2 linked regions of the Rattus norvegicus genome follow. The protein of the gene in region 1 interacts with the protein of each later gene in a pairwise test. Links are inferred from orthologs where the notes say so. Each region holds a gene or a part of one and is shown on either strand. Other genes may lie near its edges. The genes, in order: Pex5 and Acot8.

Evidence for each region.
Region 2: the proteins of Pex5 (region 1) and Acot8 interact in binary tests that used the Homo sapiens proteins (3 or more experiments, as listed by UniProt). The link is inferred for Rattus norvegicus from reciprocal best matches to the Homo sapiens genes PEX5 and ACOT8.

The regions. Positions count from the first base shown.
Region 1 is NC_086022.1:158,980,219-158,984,124, forward strand, and holds the start of Pex5 (peroxisomal targeting signal 1 receptor), read right to left. Parts: upstream 2,516-3,906; 5' UTR 2,326-2,515; intron 2,279-2,325; exon of another isoform or gene 2,132-2,278; intron 1,793-2,131; 5' UTR 1,777-1,792; coding exon 1,630-1,776; intron 1,163-1,629; coding exon 1,127-1,162; intron 731-1,126; coding exon 598-730; intron 428-597; coding exon 296-427; intron 1-295.
Region 2 is NC_086021.1:173,959,768-173,963,673, forward strand, and holds the start of Acot8 (acyl-coenzyme A thioesterase 8), read right to left. Parts: upstream 2,422-3,906; 5' UTR 2,192-2,421; coding exon 1,902-2,191; intron 415-1,901; exon of another isoform or gene 413-414; coding exon 276-412; intron 1-275. Other genes in the region: Zswim3 (zinc finger SWIM domain-containing protein 3), read left to right, coding at 2,488-2,642. UniProt on the Homo sapiens protein: Catalyzes the hydrolysis of acyl-CoAs into free fatty acids and coenzyme A (CoASH), regulating their respective intracellular levels. Displays no strong substrate specificity with respect to the carboxylic acid moiety of Acyl-CoAs.

The sequences.
Region 1 (3,906 bases):
TTCTCTCTTCCTGGGCCACCCATCCAACCTCTAGCTCCTCTCTACTCAACTTAAGTTACTGATAAAGAGGCAGCTCTAAGCTCTCGTTCATTCTCTCCTCCCCGCTTCCTCTCTCTTTTTATCTCCACCCAAACCCACATTTCTCTTTATTATGTTTTGATTACCTGCAATTGCTCTAAGAAGTCACATTTAACATCCTACAGAAATGAACCAAGAACCTGTAAGTCATTAGCAGTCGAACCCTCCCAAGAAGAATGAGGACACCGCACAGAACAGATCTCCCCAGGAGCCTCACCCGTGACTTCGGCGATGAATTCTTGGGACCAGTCGGTCTCGTTATAATCCTGAGCTACATCCACAGCATCTCCAGCGGCAAGAAACTCCTGGGCCCAATTCTCAGACAAAGCCAAGTCTGCCACACCAGGGGCTTATGAGAAACAAGAGAAGAGTGAGAAACAAAGAAAGCAGGTTTCTATCATTCCTTCACGCTCACTCCTGGACCACACTTCCCTTGTCTCCTCTGCACCTCAGTTCCCCCGACACCAGCAAAATCAAACTCTTCTGGCCTCTTCCCTTCTCACCAGGTCCTGAACCCACCTCTCTGAGGAGCCTGGCGAAAGTTTGACTGTTCAATCTCCTGCATCTCCGCCAAGAGGTCATCCATCTTGAAGGTCTGAGGGGCTCGGGATACAAGAGTTGCATTCTGGTCCTGCAGGAATTCTGCCACCAACTGTTACAGAGAGACGGTCAGATGAACTATTAGGATCAGAGGGGCCTCAGCCAGGGGCAGGGCCCACTGATGTCGGACAGAAAAACAAAAACTACAGATAAATAAAGAAAAAAATTCTATCCGTAAATTAGGAAAACAGAAAAATACCCCAAAAAAGTAGATGGGAACACTGGCAAATAAATCTCATTCGGTAAAGAGAGTTAAGTATGCATAGACTGCTTATAAAGGTAGAAAGAAAGAAAGAAAGAAAGAAAGAAAGAAAGAAAGAAAGAAAGAAAGAAAGAAAGGAAGGAAGGAAGAAAGAAAGAAAGGAAGAAAGAAAGAAAGGAAGAGAAAAGAAAAGATCACCATGAGTCAAAAAAAGAAAAAGACAGGAAGTAACCTTGTTCTATTTACCTCATCTTCAGTGCCTACTCCCAAAGGCTTGGAAACCTAAGACAGGAAGGAAAGAGGCAATACACAGAGTGAGAAGGCCAGAGGCTACAACCCAACTTTAACTCTACTGCTTAGGTGACCTGAGGTAAGTCAAGAAAGAGTCTTCACAAAGACTCAGCTTCTTTTATTTTTTTTTAAGATTTATTTATTTCTATAAGTACACTGTAGCTGTCTTCAGACACACCAGAAGAGGGCATCAGATCCCATTACAGATGGTTGTGAGCCACCATGTGGTTGCTGGGAATTGAACTCAGGACCTCTGGAAGAGCAGTCAGTGCTCTTAACCACTGAGCCATTTCTCCAGCCCAAGCCTCCGCTTCTTTGTCTATAAAATACTAGTCCTCGTCTGTGTAAAGATGCACAATGCTCACTCCAGTGTTACGGAGTGGCGACTATTACTTTAACAACAGAGAAAGCAGCTATCCAGGCTGAAGGAATGGACTCTCCTGCTCTAGAACACTCACCGTTTCCGCCGCTGAGGCTCCTGGAGGCCAGGGGCCAGGCCTCAGTCCCTCCTGCCGAAGGGCCTTGTCCTGGGTGAAGTGGGTGGCCAGCTTCATCAGCGGGTTGGCACCCCCACATTCGCTCTCCACCAGCTCCCGCATTGCCATGGTGACCACCAGCTCCCTGATGGACAGAAGATTAGAACTGTGGTCCTGGAGCCAGACTTTCCCAAAGCAAGCCAACAGCCCCTATCTAGAGCAGGTGGGCCCACGACGGTTCCACAAGGGCCAGGCCTCCAGGGCCACCCCCTGGATGGACCCCATCCAGCTGGGTCTGGCGTCCAAGAGGAGGCTGTGTCCTCCTGTCTTCCCACTCCAAGCCATGGCTTTCAGGGCTTGGGCTACCCCTGCAGCCGTCAGGACCGCATCTCAGACACCACCCGCCAGCAGCAGCTCTACAAACGGGCCTGGACCCCTGGGGAGCACGGGTAACGCATCGTAAACACTAGACACCGACTCTAACCGGACAAGGGAGAGCGGGAACGCCTCCGACCGCACACCGGAACCCGCACCCCGGGTCAGGCTGGCGCTGCGGGTCTCAATCTTAGCTCGTGTCACCTGAGCCCCCTCCCCCGCCGCGCCTGTCCACGCCCCGTGCCCCGCGCCCCGCGCCCCCAGCCCGGTCACCCCAGCCCCGACCCCGCCCCACGAGGCTACCGCAGCGGCGGGGACTTGCCCGGACCCGCGCCCCCTAGGCTCCAAAGATCACCGCCGCTGGTCGCACCGTCCGGCCGGCCGGAGTACCTGGGGTGGGCTGGGGGAGGGGAGGGGGCGGGAGCAAGGGGGAGGGACTCGGCCTTAAAGGGGCCTGGACCGCGGCGCTGCGGCCCAGCTCAACGGAAACGGGCGAAGGGGCGGGGCCTCAAACCTGCGCAGCGTGATGGGCGGAGCCGAGAGCCTTAAAGGGGAAGTCCTAGGCAGTTGGTTTGGGGAGTCCTCCAGTAGTCCTTAGAATGCTGGGATTTATTTAGTGGAAAACTCAAAGGAATGGAGCTAGGAGAGGCTTCTCTGGTTTTAGAGGAAAACCAAGGTTTTCCACGGTTCAGCTCTCTCTCCTGGGTTTCCTCCTCCTCTAAATCCGGGGGATTTCGGAGGTCAAATCGTGACCTGCTTCGGCCTCCTAGGCCTGACCCCCTTCCAACATGCTCCTTCAAGACAGCGTCACAGCCTCCAAGGAGACAGGGGCCTGCCTCTACCATTTTTGCGTAAAGAAGAAAATAGCGCCGGATGATGACAAATTCTGGTGACTAAAATAGGGTCCAACGTATTTTGAGACCTCAAGCCGGTAATGGATGGGGAGAGTGAAGTGAGTCACTCCTCTCTCCTCTTTCCTACTGGTCAAGGTCGTGATGGCCTGATTACCCGCAGCTCCGAGTTGGGAAAACGTGGCAAGGAATACCTTTGATCAGGGAATATAAACCTAAGCCTCAGGCTTCACCATCTGCCAGAGAACTGGCGCCGGTGCCAAACCTCAAGGTCACTGGAAAACAAACCTTGATATATCACCTAGGTCCAAGACCAACGGACCTCTTGACGTCCTGGGAAGGAAGGGGACGGGTTCAGAGTGCTGGTAGGTGGGCTAGGAGGAAACTGGTTCTAGAGAGACAGGACGGTCCCCGCCCGGGTAGCGGGAGAAGAAGCAGGTAGGTGGCGCCCTCGGGAAAGCTTGGTTCTTTGCTGCCCTGAAGATTTCAAAGGTAGCCCTCCTCGGGGAACACAGTCTGTGTAAATTCATCCCTGGGAAGATAGAAATTGCCCTTATAACTACAATGGTTGAACAAGGCAGAATATTGTGCAATGTTTCTGTCTTTAGTACACTGTCAATATCTTTCAGAGGCCCTAACACACACCCCCATTCTCCTTGACCACAAATTCCAGACCTGTCCACTGTTTCCAGGCTGCCATTGTAAGGAAAAAAAACCTAGCAACCAATAAACTGAACCACACCAAGGAGGAGAGGATGCCTTCTTGGAAGAGAAATACTTTAAACAGGAGACTCTCTGGAGAAATCAGTATTTAAGGAAAGCATATGATGGTTTGAATTTCTGAACATCGGGGAAGCATCTCCCAGAAGCACTCAAAGTCCATCACACACATAACCTCCTACTGTGCTAGGAGGTTAGTAACTGATTAGCAGAGATTTACTGGGCCACGATCTTGGGAGAGTAATTGTGATAATAACCGATGCTTATGAAATGCATGCTAACCCCCAGGTGTTGCTTTAAGCACTTGGTGAGC
Region 2 (3,906 bases), on another chromosome or scaffold:
CGTTGAGGTTACAGACCTGAGCCAAGCAATGGGCTCCCTCCCCCTGCTTTTTCCTGGTACCTGAGATGGAACACAAACCCTTCCCTGTGCCAGTCAAGTGTGCTGCCACTAAGCCACATGCTCAGCCCCTAGGTACCTTTCGCCTCTCCCTCTTCCTCATCCTCTTCTCTAATTCTCCCCTTTCTCTTGCATCAGCCTTCAAAGCCAGGAAGCAAGAAGTAACCACTGGGCCACCAAGGGGGGCTGCAAGCAAGGCGCCAGGGTGCGGGGTTTACCTGCCCGGACAAAGTAGCAGTGCAGGGAGTGCACGTGGACGTCTTCACTCACGGACTTGGCTGCAGCCACCAGAGCCTGGCCCACAATCTGACCCCCAAAGAGCCGCTGGGAGGTAGGTACCCAGTAATGCCTTCCTCTGTGGGGAGAGGAAAGTGGAAAAGACTGAGGGTGCTCTGAACCCCATAAGCCTCAAAAGGATCTAAGGGTATTTGGGTCCTTTTTCAGAACCTGAGCAAGGCCGAGGAGTCCACTCTCACATCTCTGACATCACCGCATAAACCTTCAGTCTTCACATCTACCCGAGTTTTCCGTGGACTTCAGTCAAATAGAACGAGCTAACTCCCTCGTTTACAGCAGGAGTACAGGAAGCAAGTCCACACAACTCAACCATTACCAATCCTGGATGGTTTCAAGTCCACAGCTTCTTCCCCACCCCAAACCAGGGAAAGGGAGAGACCAGAAGTTTACTGAGGCTTTGAGTAGACGTGAGGAACTCCAAAAAACAGATCTGGGGCTGGATCATATGATGAAGGCTTGCCATTGGCACTCCTTAACCTGACAAGGCAGTTCTTACAAGAACTGGTTTCAGAGCTGAAAAGACTCCGAGATTACCCTTATCTCCCCCCCCCCAAAAAAAGGTCTAATTGTCAGAGTCTGAGGTTGTGAAATTTAATGCAGATGCACATTGGTCTAGCTTTCTAGGTGAAAGGCCTTGCCCAGTGCTAGAGCCTGAACCCTGAGTCCTAGCACCCAGCCCGGAGGTTGTCACTTTTTTCATTACAATACAATTTGAAAAGCACTCCTGCCCTAAGACAGTAATTATCTAGCTGGAAGAAAGATAGCTTCTGATAAAACCATAATAACTGTACAGGTCAGAACTGTCACTAAACAAGCATGGTGACACACACCTTTTGAACCCAGGACTTGGGAGGCAGTGATACCCTGATCTCTGTGAGTTTAAGGCCAGCCAGGATGACACAGAGTTCCAGGTCAGCCAGGGAGGGCTATACAGAGAGCCTATCTCAAAACAAAACAACCAGCCAGGCTTGATGGTGAATTCCTGCCAGCATTTAGGAGGCAAATGCAGGTGGAGCCCTATGGGTTATAGTGAATTCCAGGTCATCCAGGACTATATTTAGTGACACCCTGTCCCTAAACAAAACAAAAAATTGTTACAAACCCACTCTGCAATCACCAAGTTCAGTGATGCCTGGAAGAAAACATACCCCAAGTTAAGTAATAACTTACCAGACCCCAATTAATGATGCAGGGATGGCTTGAACACACACACACACACACCCCGATCAGCTGTTACCCTCAGGGAAAATCACTGCCCTTTCTTTATTGACTCAGATTAAGCTGCCTTGTAGAGTAACAGTCTCTCTGTCTCTATCTCTGTCTGTCTCTGTTTCTCCCCCTCTCTCTTACACACACACTTCCCCCCCACCCCAGATCGCCTCCTGAAGAGCAAGGATGGATGTCAGGGACATGCCTTCTAACTGCAGCAGAGCATGCACCGGGCACTGAACTCTTAACCCCAGAATTGAGGTTCACGGGGAGATGGCAGTAATCGCGACTCTACTGAAACAAGGGTGCGAGCCTAGTTTAGAGGTGCCGCCGGCTACCTGTAGAGATCTTCATCTAGAGGCTCGAGGTTGAGCACGCTGGTGACCAGCACACTACGCAGGTCCCCGGAAAGGTCGCCGCGGTCGGCGTCGCCATTAGCATCTCCTAGGTCCTCTGGCTTTGACATTTTCACTGCTTGCTGCAGATGAGAGAAACGCGGAAACTTATATAGGCACCCAGCGCTTCCGGCAGGTCGCTCCAGGGGCCGGAAATCCCTAGGGTTTCCGTGTGCGAGACGCAGATTCTGATTGGTCGTTGTGCTTGTCAATTTCTGAGTGGGTGTGGCCATATCTATTTTAAGATTGGAGACTATTTGTGCCAGTTTAGGAGATCCGCGTGTGATTGGGTGAATCAGCGAAGGGGCGGAGCATTGGAGATGAATAATAAGGGATGAGTGTCATTTCCCTTCTGTCACAGAGCAAAGTCGCCCCCAGGTTGCTGTTACCGGTCTCTTCTCCGGCTCCTCCCAAGCTCCCAATAAGCCACTCAGTCCGGGCCACACCTGGGCCCTTGCCAGCCGTTACCCAGTGACCTCTGACCCCTGGCGTGATTCTGGCTGGGCTCTGTGAGGGCCAGTACCCCGCCATGGAGCTAGGCAGCTGCTTTAAGACCTACGAGGACTTCAAGGAGTGTTTCAGCGCCTACAAAAAGGAGACCAGGTGCTCCTTCATTGTCAGGGACTGCGTCTCGGTCCGCTTCCATAACCTCAACAACGGCACCTCTTTCCGCGAGGACATCCTGTAAGGGCGGGGCAGGAGGGTGGGGAGGAGGGCTGCCTGGAGGAGGAGGGCGTGCATGGGGCCACGTTGCCCACGCCTGCTGAAAAGCGAGGGAAACCTCACGGGCTTAGGCTTGGGCTACCCGCTGTGCTTGGTCCCACTCCTTCATTCACAAGCTTTTCTGGGAATTCGCAGTTAACTGCCTCTTGTTGTTTTTTGTTTTTTGTTTTTTGTTTTTTTGTTTTTTTTTTCCCCGTTGTTTGTTTGTTGAGAGCATCTCTCTCAAGCACAAAGCTTGTCGGGGAGTGAATCCAAACGCCTTGGCAATTTCCTCCATTAGTCTCCCGTTTACAAAGCAGTAATGTGCTCATTGGTTGGTTGGTTGGTTCTTTTCGTTGATTGATTTTGTAAATGATTCCTGAGCTCCAGATACAGCCGTTTTCAAACACCTTCCTTATCCAAGGTGCTTCCCAGGTGCCTTCTTTACTCTGCAGGGATGAATGTTAGAATTATTGATGGTAGTTCTCGGACTCATTTGACTCTAGGGGCTAAAAAGCTGGGGAAGGCTCCAGTGTTTTTAGGGTTCGGGTGAAACAACCTACTATAAATTTAGCTTTTAGTTTTACTTTAAAAGAAAGAATGATAAGGGTGCAGGTTTAGAATCCCAGTGCTAAAAGGTTGAGGCAGGAGGAGCATGAGTTTGAGACAATCAGCTCTTAAAAAATACAGGGAAAGGATGGTGATGGTGCTTGCCTTTAATCCCAGCACTCGGGAGGCAGAGGCAGACAGATTTCTGTGAGTTTGAAGCCAGCCTGGTCTAGAGAGCAACTTCTAGGACAGTCGAAGCTAACAGAGAAAACCTGTCTTGAAAAACTGAAGAGGGGGGGCTGGGGATTTAGCTCAGTGGTAGAGTGCTTACCTAGGAAGCCCAAGGCCCTGGGTTCGGTCCCCAGCTCCGGGGGGAAAAAAAAAAAAAAAAGAACCAAGAAAAACTGAAGAGGGGGAGGGAGGGAGAGAAGGAGGGAGAGAGAGAGATGAGAAGCAGGGCTCCCTGACTCCCTTGTGAAAAGGAAGGCTCATGTGGCCAGACTTTTGCTGTGAAATCTAATCATTGTATGAATCAATGTGAAAGTCAATTACAATAGTCAAGTCAAGTTTTAATTACAATATCTAGGCCAACTGAGTGTCAGAGTACACCAAAGTCTGAGCCCACGACTGAGCTCTTTGGACAGTACTTTCCAGACTATGGAACCTGACTGTGTTCTGGCTCCATTCTGACGTCCAG